3 linked regions of the Notamacropus eugenii genome follow. The protein of the gene in region 3 binds, or shares a complex with, the protein of the main gene of each other region. Links are inferred from orthologs where the notes say so. Each region holds a gene or a part of one and is shown on either strand. Other genes may lie near its edges.

The links.
Region 1: the proteins of TNPO3 (region 3) and CIRBP are in contact, whole or in part, in a crystal structure (PDB 8CMK), measured with the Homo sapiens proteins. The link is inferred for Notamacropus eugenii from reciprocal best matches to the Homo sapiens genes TNPO3 and CIRBP. Residues at the interface, in NP_036602.1 of Homo sapiens: Arg620, Glu660, Arg661, Cys663, Arg664, Arg667, Phe668, Arg671, Ser698, Cys699, Tyr702, Ser705, Ile706, Asp709, Glu710, Asp747, Asp750, Asp751, Arg754, Arg758; in NP_001271.1 of Homo sapiens: Tyr160, Arg161, Ser163, Tyr164, Asp165, Ser166, Tyr167, Ala168.
Region 2: the proteins of TNPO3 (region 3) and SRSF1 are in contact, whole or in part, in a crystal structure (PDB 4C0O), measured with the Homo sapiens proteins. The link is inferred for Notamacropus eugenii from reciprocal best matches to the Homo sapiens genes TNPO3 and SRSF1. Residues at the interface, in NP_036602.1 of Homo sapiens: His155, Arg157, Arg160, Thr167, Tyr254, Ile256, Glu257, Glu304, Glu340, Ile341, Phe343, Asn344, Tyr347, Arg348, Glu351, His352, Lys355, Thr356, Arg620, Asn656, Glu660, Arg661, Arg664, Arg667, Phe668, Arg671, Ser698, Cys699, Tyr702, Ile706; in NP_008855.1 of Homo sapiens: Ser116, Arg117, Arg118, Ser133, Trp134, Gln135, Lys138, Asp139, Arg142, Glu143, Gly145, Asp146, Cys148, Tyr149, Ala150, Asp151, Val152, Tyr153, Arg154, Val172, Arg173, Asp176, Asn177, Arg181, His183, Tyr189, Ile190, Arg191, Arg198, Pro200.

What each region holds. Positions count from the first base shown.
Region 1 is NC_092875.1:62,242,204-62,249,305, reverse strand, and holds the start of CIRBP (cold-inducible RNA-binding protein), read right to left. Parts: upstream 3,018-7,102; 5' UTR 2,752-3,017; intron 1,830-2,751; exon of another isoform or gene 1,604-1,829; intron 1-1,603. UniProt on the Homo sapiens protein: Cold-inducible mRNA binding protein that plays a protective role in the genotoxic stress response by stabilizing transcripts of genes involved in cell survival. Acts as a translational activator.
Region 2 is NC_092873.1:370,374,853-370,381,964, forward strand, and holds the start of SRSF1 (serine/arginine-rich splicing factor 1), read right to left. Parts: upstream 3,018-7,112; 5' UTR 416-3,017; coding exon 222-415; intron 1-221. UniProt on the Homo sapiens protein: Plays a role in preventing exon skipping, ensuring the accuracy of splicing and regulating alternative splicing.
Region 3 is NC_092874.1:121,047,912-121,055,840, reverse strand, and holds the start of TNPO3 (transportin-3), read right to left. Parts: upstream 3,007-7,929; 5' UTR 2,621-3,006; coding exon 2,501-2,620; intron 1-2,500. UniProt on the Homo sapiens protein: Importin, which transports target proteins into the nucleus. Specifically mediates the nuclear import of splicing factor serine/arginine (SR) proteins, such as RBM4, SFRS1 and SFRS2, by recognizing phosphorylated SR domains.

The sequences.
Region 1 (7,102 bases), on a different chromosome or scaffold from region 3:
GAATATCAGGACACATTTTATAAAAAAAGCACACACAAGTAGATCTAGTTCACTTAAAACTAGGGTTCTCAATCCGGGATCTATGCCTAAATTCCTTTGGATTCATTCATTAGAATGTCACATCAAGGGCCCTTTCCTAGCTTTGATAAGGCAAAACAAAAAAAAAAAACCTCAGACCAGAACAGGGACTTTAAAAATAGGCAAAGTCTCCCAGGGCCTGGACAGAGTTCTCTCCCTTATAACACCCCGCCCAAAGCATGAAAGAGCACTGATAGATCTTACACTATAAGGTTAGAAAGAGCTTTTCAAGCAACAAACTCAATACTTTCATTTTACATATGGGAAAACTGATGCCCAGAAAAAATTAAGCAATTTGTCAAGGGTCATATACGTGCTAAAAAAAAGACAAAAACAAATGAGAATAAACTAAATGACCCTGGTTGTACCTTCTTGTTCCTAAGATGGTAGCTAGGATCCCATGAGAGATTAACATGGTATGGTGGGAAAAAAACAAAGAAATTAAAAATCAGGAGCCCATGGAAAGGTTTTACAGCCCAAAGAGGCCTCTGACATGCGTAATCTGGTTCCCGAAGTGCCTCCCCTAAAATCACCGAAGAGCCAGGACCCCAAATTCAGACTCTCCCCACACCATTCCAACCCCAAGGCTGACACTCGCTACCTTGGGGGCAAGTCCCTTCCTTCTGTGGGCCTGTTCTCTAGTAAAAAACATTAAGCCTGGGGTTAGGTGCTGTGCGCGGGACAGAGCCTTCTTTTTACATCTTTTACAGGAAGCCCCAGGACCACTTTGTAGGAGGCGTCAGGTCCGGAATTGACCAACTGACCTCGGGGTCGCTGCTTAGGGGCCGGGTGGGCGGGGCAGCCGGCAGGCCCGGGATGGCTTGGAGCGGCGGCCTTGGCACGCCGGGGCCCAGGCGCCCACCGCTGGGGCCGGGCCGGGTCTGGGAACGGGCCACTCCGGGGCCTAGCCCGCGGCCCAGATCAAGATGGCCGCCGACCACGTGGCCCGCAAGTCTCCCGGAGCGCCTGCCCCTGTCCTAAGCAGGAACTAATTCTTAGATGCCCCCCAGCCCGGCTTCCCCTTAAATCAGGGCCCCTCTCTCTCGTTCGCGGTGCAGTGCGCCCAACGCCTCCCTCCTCCAGCCCCCACTAGCGGCCGCCTCCTTCTGCGCATGCGTGAGGAGCCCCCGCCTCGCCTCCCTGCGCCATTCCATCCGGGCATCTCCGGCAGTCCCCGCCATTTCACTAAGCGGCCCGCCAAGATTCTCGGCCGCCATTTTGCGGCAAAGCCTCAGAGAACTCGCCTGCCCCGGCGGCCCCTGGGGACACCGCAACGGCAGCAGCCCCTTACTTCGGCTGTCGGCCGCCGCCACCGAACCCACCCTGACCTGGCGGGCCGACCCGTCCTGCCCACAGCCGTATCCCAGGGGGGCGTGCCGGTGCCTAGGCCCTTCTCCGCCCAGGCGCTGGGCCGCCCGTCTTCTCCTCCCTCTTGCCTTGATTCCCCTCCCCCCCAGACCCCGACCACCCCAGGCCCTGCCAGCTCCGCAGGCTCGACCAAGTGGCCGGGGGCGGGCTCCCTCACCGGTGTGTTGGATGGGGCGGGAAGGATAAGCGATATCAGCGGACAGACCAGAGCCACCTGAGCCTCCTAACGGGAAAATGAGCGGCGCGCCCAAGAGCTCAGCCTTATATACGCCGCCACGAAGCCACGCCCTCTAGCCCCACCCCCAGAGCCCAGAGGGCCAATCGAAGGGGACCAAAGCCGGACGCTGATTTATATTCATGAGCTTCGGCGAGCTCCCTCTCCCCCTTCCCGCCCCGCCCCGCTCCTCCGAGGATGTGTAAAGGGATTGGTGGGGACTTAGCCTGCCGCTCGTCCGCAGTCCCCCTCCCCTCCGGCTGAAGAGGCCTCTAACCCCAGGCTGCCGAAGAGCGGTGGGGGGGGGGGGCAGGAAAGGAATTGGAGGCGGGGCTAAAATCACGCCCCTTTCTGGGAGCTAGAGGCGGGGCTGACCCAGTTTGGCGCGCTCTCCCTCCGGCACTGCGGCGGCCGAACAAAGGAGCTGCTGGGAAAACGGAGGCCTCCCCTGCCATCTTGGAGGCCTGGGCCCCGCCCCCTCGCGGGGCCCCGCCCTCTCGGGAAAATCATCTCAGACGCCCCGCCCAGAGACGTCCGAGCTCCGCCCTCCGCGGCCCCCAGCCCTCACCACGGGAAATCACTGCTCCTCCATATCCCCACCCCTCCACCCCCTCCCGGAAAGCCCGCCCACGCTCGAGTGCTCCGGGGTTACGCCTCCCCCAACCTGCTAATTACTCCCACTCCCCCCGGGGGCTGCCCCGAGTCTGGCAACGCTCCGTGGCCCCAGGGGATCCCCTCCCCCAACCCAGCCAATCCGCCTCCTGGGCCGCGGCCCCACAATCACCCCCCTCCCCGTGCTCCCCTCCTCCCCCATCGGCCCGCACAGCCACCCCTATGCCCGTCAGTTACCGGTGACCCCGGTCCCCGCGCCAGGGGTCATCCAGGACCCTTCCCTCTTCTCCATCCCCACATCCACTCACTCACCGAACGCTCTCATTGGCTGCACCCCCTCCTGCCTCCAGCCCCCTTTCCACCCCTGCATCCCCCGCGCTCCGTACCGCGGGTGGGAGCCCCCCCCGCACACCCCGTGACTCTCGGGCCCCCCGGGAACGACTAAAGACGCCACTTTATCTACAGCGCTTCTCCATTACCTATTCGTCTGGCCCGTGATCCCCTCCCTGCCAGGTGGAAGCGATCAGCACCTGCGGATGACCCGCAGCCCTGGGGTTCCCTCTGCAGCACAGGCGGGGGCATCCGCGCGGGGACCGCCCCTCCCCCAGGGCTAATCCGGCCCGAGTGACCCTGAGCAAGTCCTGGGCACAGGGGGCGTGGCGACAGCAGCTGGGAATAAACGGAGATCACGTTTGTGCACGAAAGCGTTAAGGCTCCGTCTCAACTGTAGCCATTCCACGTTTGTACGTTGGCAACACGCACGTGCCCCCGAGTCAGGGAACGCTGTGCCCGAGCCCGGCCTCCGCCCGGGGATGCCCCGCTCCACCCGGCCCTGGCACGGCTTCTGGCTGCCTTCAGAATGCCACCTTCTGCCAGAAGCCCGCCCGGGCCTCCTCCGACCTAACCCACCTATACCTCGTTTGTACCTAGTCCCCAAATGGTCTCTCGCTCTTGAGGTCAGGACTGCCCCTTGCGCTGTGCCCTGGCACATAGTAGGAGCTTAATAAATCCTTGTTGACTTGGATGTCCAGGTAATAATGGTCAGGGCAGAGCTCTGTCACTTGCACCCTGGGCTCCAGAGTCCAAAGGTTGGGGGGTGCAGTGGGGGGCTGGAATAAAAAGAAGGGGGCGGTGGGAACATAAGGAAAGAGGAGAAGAAACTTTTGAAACACCATTCGTCCAAGTTTTATCTGTCGTGTAACAGAGTTCAGGTCTTAGTGATTACGTTACTTTCCAAATAAACACAAAATGCAAGTTAGAACCTATCAGTCAAGTCCACTAAGACCTTAGGAAGCAAGTGTTGGCGGGGGAGCATGCTTTGCACCGCTGGGAAGTCCAGCATGCATCCACAGGAACATGACTTGTGTACAATATGATACTATAAGGTTACATGATACAATGTTGCATCATCAAAATTTCAATGCAGGAAAGAACCCCACAAGTTTACAATACGTTATTAAATTTATGTGTTTTGGGAAGTGATGCCAATTTCAAAAAAAAAGTTAAAAGGTTAAAGAAAGTAAATTTTCAGGAGGGTGCTGAGTAATTTTTTTTGAAAAGTAGTAGGCCAAATACGTTTGGGAACCTCTGGAGTAGCTGTTAACCCGGGGGAAGGGGGGATCTTTATAGCAAATATTTCTAACAAAAGTCCAACACCTAAAAAATAGAGAGAATTGATACAATAGAAGAATAGGAACCGTTTCCCAGTAGTCAATTTTTTGTTTTGTCAGTTTTCAAATGACTAGGTAAAAGAATGTTCCCAATCATTAGTAAGTGAAATATAAATTATGATAACACTGAAGTCCCACCTCACACCTATCAGACTGGCAAAGAAAAATAGAAGATGGCAACTGATGGAGGGACTACCATAGGACAGGCACACTAATGCACTGTAGGTGAAGTTATGAGTGGGTCCAGTCATTCTGAAAAGCAATTTGGAACAATACCCCCAAAGTCCCTGAGCTACACATACTTTTTGACCAATGATACTACTGCTGCTACTAGGCCTGTACCCCAAAAAAGGGCAAAGTCAGAAAAAAGGACCAAAAATGTTTACATAAAAATATTTATAATAACAAAAAAAAATTGGAAATAAGACTACCCTTCAATTGTAGAATAGCTGTACAAATTGTGATTTAAGAAAGTAATGAAATATTATTAAACCATAAAAACAGTGATTTATATGGAGGACCTGGAGAAACTCAAGAAGATTTGTCTAGTGGGGGCCAGTCCCATACTCAGAGTGGTTATCACCAACCACTTGTACAAGAGAGGAGGGGATTAGTGGGTAGTTATAGAAATGCAAGAGAGGGGCAGGGGGAGACAAAACATTTAAACATAAGCAGAAAAAGCAAAAACAATTTCAGGAGATTAGACAGGATACCTTTGTTACTACATTTATTTAATTTAAAAACACTTTTTTTGGATGTTCATGATTTCAAACAAAATTTTCTCTTTTGGGATAATTTATTTTAATTTAAATTTTTTGTATTTCATTTCCAATTACATGTAAATATAATTCTTAACATTTGTTTTTTAAAATTTTAAGTTCCAAATTCTTTCTGTCCCTGCCATTTCTACCCCCCAGCTTGAGAAAGCAGGTGATTTGATACACATTATACATGTACAGATATGCAAAACATATTTCCATATTTCCTTTTCCATGTTGCGAAAGAAAACACAGACCAAAAAAACAAACAAACAAACACAAGAAAAATAAAGTTTTAAAAAAAGTATGTTTTGACCTGCATTGAGACTCAGTTCTTTCAGTGGAAGTATATAGCATTTTTCATCATAAATCCTTCAAAATTGTTTTGGATCCTTCCGTTTCTGACAATAGCTAAGTCATTCACAGGTGACCATTGTACAAGATTGCCATTGCTGTGTACAATGTTCTCGTACCGTAGCTTGGTTCTCTTGGATCAGTTCATATACGTCTTTCTAGGTTTTCCTGAAACCATTCTGTTTGTCATTTCTTATAGCACAATAGTATTCCATCTCAATCATATACCACAACTTGTTCAACAGTTCTCCAGTTGACGGGCATCCCCTCAATTTCCAATTCTTTGCCATGACAAAAAGAACTACTATAAATATTTTTGTACATAGAGGTTCTTTTACCTTTTTCTTTTTTTCTTTCATTTTTTCAAATCTCTTTGGGATACACACCTAGTAGTAGCATTGCTGAGTCAAAGATATGCACACATTAGGTGTAGTTTCAAATTGCTGTCCAGAATGGTTGGATCAGTTTACAACTCTACCAACAGTGAATTGATGTTCCAATTTTTCCATATCCCCTCCAACATTTGTCGTTTTCCTTTTCTGTCATATTAACCAATCTGAGAGGCGTGAGATGGTACTTCAGAGCTGGTTTAATTTGCATTTCTCTAATCAATAGTGATTTAGAGCATTTCTATATGACTGTAGATAGCTTTGATTTCTTCTTCTGAAGACTACCTGTTCACTCATGTCTTTTGACTCTTTGTCAGTTGGGGAGTGACTCATATTCTTATGGTTTGACTCAGTTCTGTATAGTTGAGAAATGAGGCCTTTATCATAGAAACTTGTTATAAAAAATTTGCTTTCCTTCTAATCTTGGCTGTATTGGATTTGTTTGTGAAAAACCTTTTTAATTTAAAATAATCAAAAGTATTCATTTTACTTCCTGCAATATTCTCTATCTCTGGTTTTGTCATAAATTCTTTCCTTATCCAAAGATGATAGGAAAACTATTCCATGGCCCCCTAATTTGCTTATATCATCATCCTTTATGTCTAAATCATGTACCCATGTTGACCTTTTCTTGGTAAACAGTGTGAGATGTTGGTTTATACCTAGTTTCTGCCAAACTACCTTTCCAGTTTTCCCAGCACTTTTTGTCAGATAGTGAGTTCTTGTCCCAAAAGCTTGGATCTTTGTGATTATCAAACGGTAGATTACAACGGTCATTCATTACTATACATTGTATATCTAATCTATTTCACGGATCTACCACTCTTATTTCTTAGCCAGTACCAGGTTGTTTTGATGATTACTACGCTAAGATATGACCTTCCTTCACATTTTAAAAAATTGATTTTCTTGATATTCATGATTTTTTGTTTTTCCAGATGAATTTTATTATTTTTTCTAGCTCCATAAAATAATTTTGTTAGTTTGATGTGGCAACAAATAAGCAAATTAATTTAGGTAGATTATAATTTTTATTATATTGGTTCAGCCTACTCATGAGCCATGAACATTTCTCCAGTTTTTTAAATCTGACCTTATTTTATTATATTCTATTATATAAATGATTATATATAAAATTGTATATTTTATTATGTAAGTGAAAAGTGCTTTGTAATTATGTTCATCTAGTTCCTGGGTTTGTCCTGGAAGGTAGACTCCCAAGTATTTTATATTGCCTATAGTTATTTTAAATGGAATCTCTCTTTCTGTGTCTTCCTGCTGGACTTCATTGGTAATATATAGAAATGTTGATTTCTGTGGGTTTATTTTGCTTTCTGCAACTTTGTGGAAGTCGTTAATTATTTTGACTAGTTTTTTAGTTGATTCTCTAGGATTCTCTAAGTATAACATCATATCATCTGCAAAGAGTGATCATTTTGTTTCCTCTTTGCCTATTCCAATTCCTTTCATTTATTTTTCTTTTTATTGTTATAGCTAGCATTTCTAATACAATACTAAATAATGATGGTGTTATTAAGCATCCTCGCTTCACTCCTGTTCTTCCTTCTAAATTATCCCTGTTACAGAAAACACTTACTGATGGTTTTAGATACACTACTTGTCATTTTAAGGAAAGGTCCATCTATTCCTATGCTTTCC
Region 2 (7,112 bases), on a different chromosome or scaffold from region 3:
CGTCCACGTGGCCCCACCTAGGGGGGCCCAGGGCAGCCAGCCAGGAACGGGTAGGCGCTCCTTGCTGTCCCCAGGGCTTTCGGACTGCTCCCCTCTGCCTGTCCGCCACCACGCGTCTGTTTTCTCAGCGCAGGCCCCGGCTCTCCCTCTTCACAGTCTGCAGGGCGGGCCCGCGCGCTCCAGCACCCCTCCCCAGCCAGCTCCGTCCCGGGCCTCCTCACCGCGGGTCCTCGAACTCCACAAAGGCGAAGGGGGGCCCTCCGCGACGGTTCTTAAGATCTATGTCGCGGATGGCGCCGTACTTGTAGAACACGTCCTCTATGTCCTTGGTGCGGATATCCGGGGGAAGGTTGCCCACATAGATGCGGCAATCGTTGTTCCCAGCCGGGCCGCGGATCACTCCTCCTCCCGACATGGCGGTAGCGACGACGAAGAAAGGCGCGGACTAGAGAGCCCGAGTTCCCTCCCCCACCCTACAAACACACAGCGGAGGAAGCCCTGCAAGCTACACCACGTCTCCCGCGGCTGCTCCAAAATGGCGCCCTTATCTGCCTGCTCCGCGCACGGATACGGGGGAGGGGAGACAGCAGGCGGACTCGCGGACACGCTGCGCACGCGCAGGAACGCAACGGGCACCTCTACGGGGTTCGTTGCGCACGCGCGTCCGGCGTCACCCTCCGCGGCGACAGGAGAACTTAAAAAAAAAAAAGTCCCGCGCCGGTAGGATATATCGAGTCGTCGAACTTCCGCGTGGCAAAACCCAGTAGTAGGATGAAAACACCGACAGGTGTTATCCTTAGTGGGGGGCTACTAGTTTACGTCGGGCCAAGTCGTTCTTCTCGGGACTGAGGAAGCCGCGTCTGCTGGGCGGTTTGGCGCCTCGGGGAGGACTGAAATAGACCCGGCAGCGGGCAGCACCGGCCCACAATTCCGCGCGGCAGTAACGGCCCTTGGCGGGAAAACGCTGAGGGGCGGGGACAAAAGTGGAGTAAAGCGGCAGGGGTGGGGAGTGGGCGGGGACTGGAGCTTCAAGTCGGCGCCGCGGTCTGGGGGCGGAGATGCGTGTGCAGAGGTGCGTGCGGAGTCTTTAATGGGGGCCGCGTGGCAATTTCCTAGCTCAGAAGGGGGCTTTGCCGGACTCTCTTTGCGTGTTTCACGTTGACGTCATTACGCAGCTGGAGGTGTGGCACGAACCCACCTGGCCGCCAACTGCTTTGCCCACCCACCTACGCAAATAGGTTGATTTGCTAGTATATAAGGGGATGACGAACGTAAGCTTCTTGAGGGCAGAACCCTCTTCTACCTATTTTTTGCTGTTACCTGGGAACTTAAAAAAATCTGCACATTTACGTGAAAAACACATTTGCTTGACAGTGTATGTACTTAGAGGAGGGAAGAGAGGGAGAGAATTTGGAACTCGAAATGTTTAAAAAAAAGTTATTTTTACATGTCATTGAGAAAAAAGGGAATTCAGGTAGATTTATTAGCAGAGACCTTCAGTAAAAAGATCTTAAAATAATTGGGGGGGAGTTAAAAATATTATTATTATTAATTATAAAAAATTATTTTCATCTGACTTGGTGTTAAGTATGTAACGAGACTTTCTAATGAAAAGTGTGTGGCCATGATAATCTTTAGTTTGACAACACATTGTCATTTAATTATTTTTTTGCGTTCATGACTGTGACTAGAAAACATTTATAATTAAAAAACACTTTCAGCCTATAGGGAGTTGAAATTTAGAGCTAGGTAGCTCAGTTTTTCCCTCCAACTCCAGTGCTCATTATATAGTAGACACTTCATGTTTGGTGTTTTTTCAAAGAGTACAAGATTTTTTAAGATTCAGGAGACTTGCCTGTAAGTCCTGGAACAGAGACCTTGAAGTTGCTTTACTTCCCCATCCTCTGACCTCTTCAGTTTCTCCATCTGTAAAACCGGGTTGGACGTTGACTTTACATTTATGAAATGCTAGCCAGCTTTCCCATCCTTGAGTGAGGTAGTTTTTGTAGCTTTCCAACCTTTCTCCCCAAATATAGAACAAAAAATAGGAAACTTGGAAGGGCCTTAGATGTCATCTAGTTCTGGACTTCTTAAACTTTTTCCATTTGTGACCCTTTCAGTGCTAAACTGTGGGTGGAGACCAGTCTCACCGCTAATTACAAATGCTGAAACTAGCTCAGAAAGGTGAACAGCCAAAGTACCAATATGTCGGCTGGTTAAGTACAAAGAAAGGTAAAGAAAAAATAATCCTTGCCCTCAGGGAGTTTACAATCTAATGTGAGTGGAGCCAGGAACAACAAGTAAATAACTAGATAGGCATAATATAAATTGGAATTAATCTGGAGGGCGGACACTAGCTGTTACTATGCTACCCCTTCCCCTTTTAAGTTATTTTTATATGGGAAAAATCACTGCCCTGTCAGGGATGTGATGAATGATACAAAGAGGGAATTGTTTTTTCTATAACGTAATTTCTGTAGGTAAGTACCAGTGAGGAAACACCCTACAGCATTTTGGCAACTCATCAGTCATTCAAGCATTTATTAAGCACTAATTAACATGTACTTTACTAAATGCTAAGTATATAAGCAACTCTACTAGGTTGCTCATGGGATAGAGTGCTAGGCCTGAAGTCAAGAAAAAGACTTATCTTCCTGAGTTCAAATCTGGCCTCAGACCCTTATTAGCCGTATGACCTTGGGCAAGTCACTTAACTTGTGTGCCTCGCTTTCTTCATCTGTAAAATGAGCTAGAGAAGGAAATAGCAAACCACAACATTAAATTCCCAAAATCTGTAAATAGCATCACAAAAGAGAAACAACTGAACAGCAATGTGATGTAAAGACAAAAAAAGAAACAGTTCTTGATGTCGAGGACCTTAGCTTCTACTAAAGAGAAAAGGCACATACACACATTCGTAAACATGAAGTATGTGTATATAAACACATATACACATATACATACATATGTGTGTGTATAATTGCTACAAAATAATTTTAGCAAAGCCCCAGTAATAGCAGCAGGGTGGGATGACAGCTTCGAAAAACTCGACTTTAGAAGGGGGCACTTGAACTAACCCTTGAAGGAAACAAGGGATTGTTAGAGGTAGAGATGAGGAAGGAGAACATTTCAGGCACAGAGAAGAGCCAGCAAAAAACCATAGAGATGGAAAATGGATTATCATGGATGAGAAAGAGCAAGTAGACTGGCAGGAACACAGATTGTATGATGTCATAAATCTGGAAAGGTTGATTAGAACTAGATGGTTTTGGGGGGTTTTCTTGGCAAAGATACTGGAGGGGTTTGTCATCTCCTTCTCCGTTTATTCTACAGATGAGGAAACTGAGACAAACAGAATTAAATGACTTGCCCAGGGTCACATAGCTAATAAGTGTCTGAGGCCGGATTTGAACTTAAAGATGAGTCTATCCTTCTACCTGCCTGAGCTAAGTGATGAAGGGTTTTAAATGCCAAATAAAGGCGGTTTGTATTTTGTGCTGGAAACACTGGAGCTTTTTATAGCAGGGGTGGAGATGACATGGTCAGACTCATGCATTGGGAATATCAATTGGGCAGCTCTGCGGAGGATGGGTCATTTAGAGATTTGAAACAGAACACTTAGGAAGCTACTGCAGTAGCCCAGACAAGGGATGGTGGCCATGGGAATGAAGAAAAAAGAATAATAAGAAGGATGTTTTGGAGACAAGAAGCTTTGGCAAGTCTTTTAATATTCCAGGTGAGAAGGAAGTGAAACCTGAAGAATAACTGAGGTCAGAAACCTGAGTGATTAGAAAGATGCTAGTCCATTTTAAAGAAAGAGGAAAGTTTGGAAGAGGAGTAGGTTTGGAGACAAAGATGGATGTTGTTTTAGACATGTTGCATTTGAGAAGTCTACAAATCATACACTGGAAATGTGGAGCAAGCAGTTGGGAATGAAAGGCCAGAGCTCAGTAAGGTTTGGCCCAGAGTTATCTTCAAAGATATTATCTTAATTAAACTCATGGAAGTCAATGAGATAACCAAAAGAGTGTATAGCTATAGAAAAGGTGAGGACCCAGGATAAAGCCTTGAGGTATACCCATAGTAAACTTGATGGACAGAGAACTGCATTTGGAGTTACTAAATCCTGAATTTAAATTTTGCCACCAGATACTTATTAACTGTGTGACATTGGGCAAATTACTTAACCTCGGGTAACTAGGTAGCACAGGAGAGAGAGCATTGGGTCTGGAGTTTGAAAGGCCCTACTAGCTCTGTGACCCTGATAAATACACTTAACCTCTGTGGGCCTCAGTTTCTTCATCTGAAAAATGAGGATAATAATAGCACTTACTCCCATAGTTGTTGTGAGGATAAACATGATAAGAATATCTGTAAAAGGTTTTGCAAACATTAAAACACCATTTAAATGCTACTTAATATTATGTTTCTCAGACTCAGTTTTCTCCTCTGAAAAATGAAGGGGTTGGAATCAATGACCTCTCAGCCCCATTTATATCTATAATCCTATGACATTGATGATGATCAAGCAAAGGAGACTGAGGAAGAATCTAACAGGTAAGAGGAAAAGGGAGATACAGCAGTGCATAAAAACCCAAAGAGAAAAGGATGGAGATCAAGAATGATGAGGACGGAGAAAAGGCCATTTGAGTGGACACTTAAGAGATGGTTGGTAACTGGAGAGCAAGTTTCAGTTGAATGATAAATTTGGAATCCAAACTGAAGGGTGGTGAGAAACGAGTAAGAGAAGAGGAGGCAATGAATGTAGACAACTTTTCCTATAAATTCGCCTATGAAAGGGAGTAGAAATAGAATAACTTGACAATCAAAAAACATTTCAGTGCTTACTGTGTTCCAAGCTCTGTGCTAAGTGCTGAGGATGCAAAAAGAGACCTTGCCCTCAAGAAGTTTATAATTGGAGAGACACCTTACAGACAAATATATATTATATATATGTATACATACATATACATATACATATATACACACACACACACATATATATATATATATATATATATATATATATATATATATATATATATATATATATATATATATATATATATATATACCCAAAGCAAGCTATATGCAGGACAAATGGAAGGCTTCCTGTAGAAAGTGGAATTTTAGTAGGAACTTAAAGGAGCCAGGGAGATCGGTCATCTGAGTGGAGGAGGAAAAGCATTGCAGTCATGGGAGACAAAGAGATTGCCTGGTGCTGAGATGGAGTGTCTCTTTCTGGAAATAGCAAGGAAGTCTGTATCACTGGATCCTTTGAAGAGTAATTGTACTTGTTAGTAAGGTATAAGAAGACTGGAAGGGTCGGAGGGGGTCTAGGGTTATGGAGGGCTTTGAACACCAACCAGAGGCTTCTGGAAGTGATAGGGAACCACTGGAATTTATTGAGTAGAGAGGGATGGTATGGTCAGACCTGTGTTTTAGGCAATTCACTTGAGTTGCTGAATGGAGAATGAATGAGCTGGGGAGAGATTTGAGGCACGCTGACCCACTGTTGCAATAGTCCAGGTATCAAGTGATGAGGGCCTGCACTAGAATAGTGGTTGTGTCTGAGGAGAGAGGGGGAAATATTCAAGAAATGTTGCAAAGGTCAAATTGACAAGCTTTGGCAACACATTGATACAGGGCAGAGTCAAGAGGGGAGGTTGGGGGATGTGGTATATGAGGATAGTGGAGGTTAGAGATAGTGAGGAATTCTAGGATGGCTTTTTATTTAAATTTGTATTCATTTTATTTTTCATTCATTCATTCATTTCATTCATTTTTATTTTTCCCCAGTTCACTTTTGTTTTTAAAACTTTTGGTCCCAAATTCTCTCCCCGCTTCCTTCTCCACCCCCAGCCCCCCCCCCCCGCCCCGTTGAGAAGGCAAGCAATTCAACATAGGTTATACATGTGCAGTCATGCACAACATTTTCATAATAATCATGTTGTAAAAGAAATCACAGAGAAAAAAACCTCAAGAAGAAAGTTAAAAAAAGTATGCTTCAATCTGTATTCAGGCACATCAGTTCTTTCTCTGGGGATGGAGAGCATCCTTCATCATAAGTTCTTCAGAATTGTCTTGGATCATTGTATTGCTAAGAATAGCTAAGTTATCTTATATACACATATATATATATACACACATATATATATGTATCTTAAGTTATAAGCTGATCATCTTACAATATTGCTGCCACTTTGTACACAGTACATTTCACTTTGGATCAGCTCATGTGAGTCTTTTCCAAGTTTTTCTGAGAGTATCCCGCTCATCATTTCTTGTAGTACAATACTATTCCATCATAATTGTATGCCACAACTTATTTAGCCATTCCCCAATTGGTGAGCATCCCCTCAATTTCCAATTCTTTGCCTCAAGAAGAGAGCTGCTATAAATATTTTTGTAGATATGGGTCCTTTTTGGTTTTTATCTCTTTTGGCATACAGACCTAGTATTGCTAAGTCAAAGGGTGTGCATGGTTTTATAGCCCTTTGGACATAGTTCCAAATTGCGCTACAGAATGGTTGACTCAGTTTACAACTCTACTGACAGCATATTAATGTTTCATTTTTCCCATATCCCCTCCAATATTTGTCATTTACCTTTTCTGTCCTATTAGGCAGTCTAATAGCTATGAGGAGTGCCTCATAATTGTTTTAATTTCCATTTCTCCATCAGTAGCAAGTAATATTTTTAATATGGCTATAGATAGCTTTGATTACTTCATCTGAAAACTGATCATTTTTTGATCATTTATCAATTGGGGAATGGCTCTTATTTTTATCAATTTGACTCAGTTCTCTTTATGTTTGAAAAATGAGGCCTTTATCAGAAAAACTTGTTTCAAATTTTTGTTCACAGTCGCTATTGCTAACTGTATTTCTCTCCATCCTTTCACCCCGCATTGCTTATTCTATTCTCTCTCTCCTTTCACCTCGTCCTTCCTGAAAAGTGTTTTGCTTCTAACTACCCCCTCCCCCAACCTGCCTCCCTTTTATCAACCTCCCCTTTTATCCCCCTTCCCCTCCTACTTTCCTGTAGGTTAAAATTAGTTTCTATACCCAATTGAATGTATATGTTATTCCCTGTTTGAGCCAGTTCTGATG
Region 3 (7,929 bases):
TCACAGACTCTCCATGCCTCCTCACCTCCACCAAGCCTCAGATCAATTCTAGCTTATTTCTTAGCTCAGTCCAAGTGCCACTTCCAACATGGAGCCTTGCCCCATTTCCCAAAGCTTCCAGTGCCTTCACCCACAAACATAGTGCCACCACTGTCTTATGTTTATATCACGTGTTATTTTGTATTTACTTATGTGCATACATGGTGTCTTCTCCAAAAACACTCAAGCTCCTTGAAGGCAAAGACGCCCTTTCTTTTGGACTCCACATCTTCATCCTTGAGCAATGTCTGCACATGATAGGAGTCAATGTGGTTCATTGACAGTTTGACAGCTGACTGGCAATGTTGATTGACAGCTTAAAAACACCAAATAAATGTCTAGTCTTCAGAATAAATTACCAAGTCAAACCAATGACTGAAAAGGAAAAGGAAAAGAAAACCCTGATGTTTCAGAAGAATTTCAGGGAACTGGGAATTCCAAAGAGGAAAAGTACTAGAGTACATATCCCACAGCCTGCCTCATTTATTATGGGGAAAAAAAATTCCCAAGAATCTAGGCCAAATCAATTATCATTGTCCCAAGGTTATCCTGGCTCATCTGCTTCCGTGGTGCACAGTACAGCAACCAGATTTGCTCTTATTCCAGTCAAAACTATCACAGTTTTCCAGTCTATAAAATACACTTCCCTTCTTCTTGATTTAAATTATTGTCTTCAACAACTTAGGTTATTCCACATATCCAACGAAGGGATGACTTTTCATTCAATGCTTCCCCCCAGAGTTTGAGTTAGCTGAGTTAAATTAGGGCATCTCCCTCCCACCATATTTAATAGAGTCCTGCCATATAACAGACCCTTGCTAGGTAGGATTGCTATAAAAGTCAGCCTCCAAACCAGAGAAATATAGTTTTCTCTTCCTTTAGAAAATTTCCAAGTCATCAATTCTAATAATCTCTGCAGCAGGATGTTTCTAAGAATGAAGGGGGGTGGGGGGAGAAAAAGATGTTGATATATGCAACACAAGGAATGCATCCTATTCCAGAATGTGCTCAACTGTATCTAAATTGTACCACTATTAACTACTGCTTCATATTGAGCTTGTCAAGGAGACCAATTGGCAGAGATCGCTGGAATTACAACTGCATATTGAGATTGTGAGGAGAAAAAAAATTATGTTCTACAAAAAAATTAAAAAGTTTCTTCTTGACACAGGTCTCATAGCACAACTAACGTTTAAGTAAGCTCTGTCCTCCAAAGAGAATAAAAACCTAACTGTGCTAGGACCAAACTTCAAGTTTGTTACATACTACTGAAACAGCTTGGGAAATATACCTTGAGAAAGTCCCTTTTAATTAACAAATCACTTTTTCCTGTTCGAACCAAGCACTTCCCTCCTATAAAAATGAAAGTAATTTTAATCTATCTTACAAAAATAACTACCGCTAGGAAACTCTAAAACAAAGCACCACAAAAAGGCTTTTCTCCCTCTCCAGACCACAGAAACTGTGTTATGATTATCAAGTAATAATATCTATCTTATAAAAATTTCTCATTACTTGAAATCAGGCAAGCCAAGAATTGGAAACAAAGGAACATACAAAAATAAACCACCCACCCTATTTCAAATGCAAAGTTGCAAGCTGACCAAAATAAACGGAACTCGTACGCACTAAGACCTCAAACAAGTTAGCTTTAAAGGGCACAGTACAAAAATCAGCAAAGGAAGGAATTGAGGGAGGGGGGAAGAGAAGGGTTGTCAACAGAAATCAGAAAAGGATTTGTGCTTGAAAGACAAGCAAATACAGTGCAATATCCTTTCATTTTCAAAGCATTTTCACATTTGTTAAAAAACAATTTCATGGCTCCAGTAGAATTAAAAAGTTTTCCCCACATTTCAGAAAAAAAAGATATTATACAACATAAGTTAAGGGGGATCGTGAGGAAGAAAGAGTAAGTCCCAACACGGAGTTAAAAGACAAGGAGGTGGCAAAGGAATACAACAAGGGGGCAAAACTGGCAGATGCAAAGACCTAAAAGAGCTGAGAGGTGTTTAGAGCTATTAATGGATGAAAATGAGGATGGGGGCGCGGGTGCAAATGGATGGGAAAGAATCCCAGGCTGCGACACCGGAACGCGGAGAAAAGAAAGGAGTGGGCGTGCTGGACAGGGACGGAGATGGGACAGGGACCAGCAGGGGACCGGGCGGCCGGTCCCTTCGGGGCAGTGGAAGAGCGGGAACCCGGGAAGGCCTCAGCTCCCAGGGGGCTCCAGGCCCAAGACTCTGCAGCCCCTGGAGGGGAAGGGTCCCCGGGCTGGCGGCTGCCCCTTCTCTTTAGAAACTTCCACCAGCCGCGGCTGGGCCGCCGCGCCCCGCCCCGCGCCGCAGCTCCTCCCCTCGGGCTGCACGAGGCCCCGGGGCCGCCGAGCCGGCTCCGGCCCCGCCGCAGGCCTCTCCAGCACCCGGCACCCCGCCCCCCGCGGCCGGCCCCGGCCCCCGCTCACCGATCGCTGCAGCTCCCCGAGCCAGAACGAGGCGCGCTCCTTGCCGCTGGGGTCCGGGTCGTGGTAGAGCGCTTGCACAGCCTGGTACACCAGCTGCAAACTCGGCTTCGTCTCTTCCATGGCGCCGGCTCCTGCTCTTCACACGCGGGGGCGCAGGCTCCTCGGGCTTCGCTGCTTCTCACTGCCTCGGCCACGGCCGCTCCCTGGCCGGCGCCATCTCCTCCTCCTCCTCGGCCGTTACCGGGGCGGGGGGTGTCCCGTGCAGGCTGCCCCCCTGGAAACAGGAGCCTGGTGGCGCTCGGGTTCCCTCTGTCTTCTGTGCCTGCGATCGGTGGCCGGCGTCACCATCGGGCTGTCCCCGAATCAGCCTGGGAGCCCGCGTGTTCTCTCCACCTCGCTCTCTCCCTCCCCCCTAGCTCCGGGATGCTCCAGCCCCAGCCGGCTCCCGCAAACCACAGAGCCTTCCAGCAGGAGAACCGCTCAACCCGGACCGGAAGCAGCGACACTGGTCCTTTAGCGCACTTCCGCCGGGGCCGCCGCAAGCCGTGCTCCCCGCCTTTCGGAGCCCCCTGGTACCGGAAGTGGCCCTCCCCGGCCAGAAACCGAAGAAGCGCGAAAGGAAGCGGTGTGTTCTGCCATTGAATTCCCGGGGCCTCCCGGGGGTGCGGGCCTCTAGAAGCCGGTGCTTTTTGGTCTTGGACGGAGACCTTTCCTCCTCCTGACATCTCGAGCCTGGGGTCCCTGCGGCGCCGCTTCCACGTGGGGTCCCCGGGGCTGCGTCTCGGCGCCGGGATCGATTCTCCTACCAGCCGGGGGCCACCTCCCTCCCTTGCTCTTCCTCCCCTCCCCCCGGTCGTTACGTCTTTATTTTCACTAACTTCTGGTTTCTTTGGTAATCCTCCGTATTTTATGAATCTAAAAACCCCAGACTGCCAAAGGAACCCTAGCACACAAAAAAGGTTAAAAGCCCCTGAATGCGATGGGCGATTTCCAAAGTCCTTCCATCGCCAAACGCCAGCATCCTGTGCTGTCCGCGCGCGTCCGGGTCTCCAGGTGCACCACGCGCCAGCCAGGACAAGGCCGGTGGGGCTGTGCGCTCCAGGTCACCATCTCTGCCGCGGCTGACGCCCCGTCTGGTGAATGGTGCCAAGGAGAGCGTTGGCCTTGGAGTCGAGAAGGACCCGCGACCTGGCCCCGGACAGTTGGTCACCGTGTCCCCTGGGCCGGTCCCTTTATCTCTGTCGGCTTCACTCCTGCCTTCTGCATCGTAGAGACAATGACCGCGCCCCGCTGACCGCTGACAGGACCGTGAGGATCGAATAAGAGAACATACGGAAAGTGCTGCTGGCCGGCCTCACTAGTGCCATGGGACTGAGAGCTGTCATTATCACTAATAGTATGATGATGACACACGCCCCGCGTGCATCCCTTGTTTCAGAATCAGCCCCCGCACCAGGCTGCACCCTTACCATCCGTGCGGTTCAGTGGAAGGAGGCCTGGATTTGGAGTCAGGACCTGGAGGCAAAATCCGACTGTCACTTCCTATCTCTGAAATGTTCATCCCACATGAGGGATGTGGGCTAGAAGACTTCTGAGGACCATTTTGTGATGACTTCCTTACTGCACGCCCTCCTATCCTTTTAACAGTTGGTAAAGGCTGCTGCCACACTTTGTAAATTCTGTGTATGTGTGGTTTCCTTCAACTAGAGTGTAAGTTCTACAACAATTAGTTTGTAATCTTTCATATGTGGCAGTGTTCTGCTTAAGGGCTCAACAATGCTTAAGGAGAATTTCTACTTTCTTTAGTACATGGACGCACAACAAGGCTACTAGGAGTAAAAACATGAAAAGGGAACACCAGCTTTTTGTGTATTTTCTACACCAGACCTACATCTTCAGGCACCGCTGACAGAAGTAATAGAAAATATAAAATTGTGTCATTGAGCTTATTTGCCAATTATTTATTTTTTAAAAAGTGATTCCAGACAGCAAAATGTAGCCCTCTCCTCCAATATGTCCCCTATGCATATATTATTGTACAAGACTATGATAAATACAACCACAGAAATAACTTTTCAACAATCCTTTTAGTATCAGAGTATAGAACAAGAAGACCTATGCTTGCCAAAGATACTCACAAGTCGGCTAGAGAATGGCCCACATAAAAGTGGTGCAGCAGATAGAAAGATGGAGTTGGAGTCAAGAACATCTGAATTCAAACCCTGCCTCAGACATTAGCTAGGTGCCCCTGGGCAAGTCACTTAAACCTCATCAGCCTCAGTTTCTTCTGTAAAATGAAGATAATAGCATTCATCTCACAGGGTTGTTGTGAAGGTCAAATGAAATAAGACATAAAGTACCTTGCAAACCTTAAAGTGCCTTGTAAATGTTAAAAGTTATTTCAAATAGAAGAACTCTACTGTAGATGGTGAAGGTCTCCAGGAAGATAAAACTAGTGGTAGCGTAAAGGATGGATTGGAGCAGTAGAAAGATTCGAAGAATGGAAGTGAGTTATAAGGCTATACAATAATGCATAAGATAAGGAAAAATTAGAATGTTAGTGGGGATTAAAAGTGAATAGTCAATAAACATTATGCCTGGCACCCTGCTAAGAGCTGGGGAAACAAATATGAAAAAATAAAGTCCCTACCTTCTGGGAACTTAAAATCCTAAAGAGGAAGAGGACACACAAAAGGAATCTGAATGGGGTGGGGGCAACTATCCAACATGGAGGTGTGGTGGAGAAGTCAACCAGGGAAGTCTCAAGCTAGAAATGAAATAGCTAGGCTGAGGTCTCCCGTTAAATGGAGGTTTGGAATTCATGGTCCTACCCTCCAATCAGAGAGGCAGAGGATAGTGATGAAGGGGAATGTCAAAGCTGATGAAATCTTAACATGATGATGAGGTTAATCCAATTATGAGCTTCCTAGGGTATGGGGAAGAAGTCCAAAGGCAGTGCAGTAAAAAACAGATATAGGAAATATTGTAGAGGAACCAATGAAACTCATTAATTGGTTTCAAGGAAATATAAAGTTATGACATTTTGAATTTAGGTGACTAGGTTCTCTATCCTAGTCATCACATAGAAATAAGGTTAGGAGGAAGAGCCTATTGAGCTTAAAGTGTGAGAAAGACAAGTCATTCTTATATAAGTTAGGATTCCACAAAATGTTGCAGTTTCAAGGTAATGTAAGATAACAAGCACTACCAACCAATCAGCTCTCAGGGGAAGAAGCTAGCCTAACCAAAAAGTTTCTGATAATGGGGCCCAGCCTGAAACTAGTTTAAACCTGTTGGGGTCAGTGACCATGAGAAAGCTTTTCTTCATAGTGCATGCTTAATAAACCTCATGCATATAAGCAGACACACCTCACACAAAATTATCCCTCCATTTTCTGATCGTGGAACATATGATGAGGGAGGGGTACATGCCTACACATGCTTAGGGGAAAACATACAGTGGGCATGTCTGGAAAATTGTGACCTGAAAGAGAACAGAACAATCTGTCCTCTGATGGGAGGATTTTGTTCTGAATTAACAGTATAAAACTTCTCTCCCTTCAGATTCAGCATTCCCTGTTCCTGGAAAAGGGTGGAGCCCGCTTCTGGCCAGAAACATCCAATTCCTCTGGATTCTTCTTTAATAAATTTTCCTTGATACTTGAGTTTCAGCATGTTTCTAACAAAAGTGACATTAGGAATTCAGCAAACCTTTGCTGAGCTCCTCCTGTTGGACATTATGTTTGGCTCAACAATTTTTTATTTTTGTGCATTATAACTTTGTGCTGGTATTTTATACCCTTACCTTTTATACCTCCTTGAGTGGAGGGACCATGATGTATCTAAACTTTTAATCACCTGCAGCACCTAGCACAGTGCTTTACATGAAGTAAAGGCTTAATAAAAGTTTTTTGTATTTGTTTTTATTGTATCTTCAGGTAAAATGGCCAGAAGGCACTTAGATAGGTATCTGTAGTATATCTAATGTAGTCTATCTAATATCTAATATTAGTATTATATTAATATCTAATATTATCTAATAGTTCCTTTTATGCCACCTACAAACATTCCCAGATCTTCCTCATCCTTCAAAACCCTTCACTACGCCTTACTATCTTTGCAATCTGTCATCCTGTATCTCCCCTCCCCTTCTAAGCTAAACTTGAAAAGGCTGTCTAGCCCCAGTTCCTCCACTTCCTTTCCTCTAATCTAGCTTCCAAACTCATCATTCAACTGAAATTACTTTCTCTAAAATTACCAACAATCTCATAAATTGCCAATTGAATTGTTTTTTCTCAGTCTTCACCCTGCTTGACATCTCCACAAATTTTGTTAGTCTTGCCTCCCCTCCCCCGCATGCAACTTGGATACTGAGTGTTTTGGGTTGTTTTGGGTTGTTTTGGGTTTTTTGGTCAAAACCTTCCCTTGATCTCTCTCTGCCTCTCTGAGCACTTCTCTGTGTCCTTTGTTAGATCTTCAACATCACATTCACTAGTTGTGAATGTCTTCCAAGGCTATCCTAATCCCATTTTTTACTCTATACTCTCTCACTTGATCTCATCAATATACTTGGATGCACAGCTTGTGTTTGTCCTTCTTTCTCAAAGAGGACCCTGACATCCAGATGATGACATGACTTGAGGTAACTTTGATTTGAGTTGAGGGAGGGTTGTGCAATGTCACCAACCTCACTTTCTTCTCTTGAGCCATCTGGGTCCAGAGGCCTGATATTCATCAGAATGACTAGAGATGGCCCAGGATGCACTGGGAGACCCTGGCCCTTTCAGGTCTAAGGTCTTATCACATTCTCACCTTGACTGAGATACACCCATTCAATGAAGAGGCTTCTTTAAGTAGTTACTCAAGGGATGGTCCCTTTAAAAAAATTCAAACTGGGAGGTTAAGGCCCTCAGGGTTCCTGGGTAAAAGAGAAATAGTTACTATTTAGTAATTACATTCACTCTGTACTAAGTGGGTGGGAAGTTGTTGACCAGTCTATGAGCTCCAAAGTGAATTGGGTTTAAGGCTTGGTTCAATGATCATCTCTGTGCATACGAGGGAGAGGATTCTGGGAAGATGACAGCGTAGGTCAGAAAACTTTTGGCTCTCCAAATTTCCTCCACAAAAAAAAAAGAATACTATAATATAAACAGAAATCAAGAAAAGTTGAGGTAAAGCAGTTGTCCTCCTAATACAATTTGAGAACACCCCAGGAAAGACACTACTTCCAGGGGTGGAAGTTTGATCTGAGTGAAATACAAACACTTCCAGGCCAACCCCTCAGAATCAACAAGTCCTGGGGGCAGCTAGGTTGGGAGGCAGCTTCAGCCTTGGGAACTTGCACTTCACAGACGAGTGTGGGTCAGAAGACTGAGTAGGAGAAGACTGAAGGACCTTCCACTGTTGAGAGATACCAAACACAGCTGTGC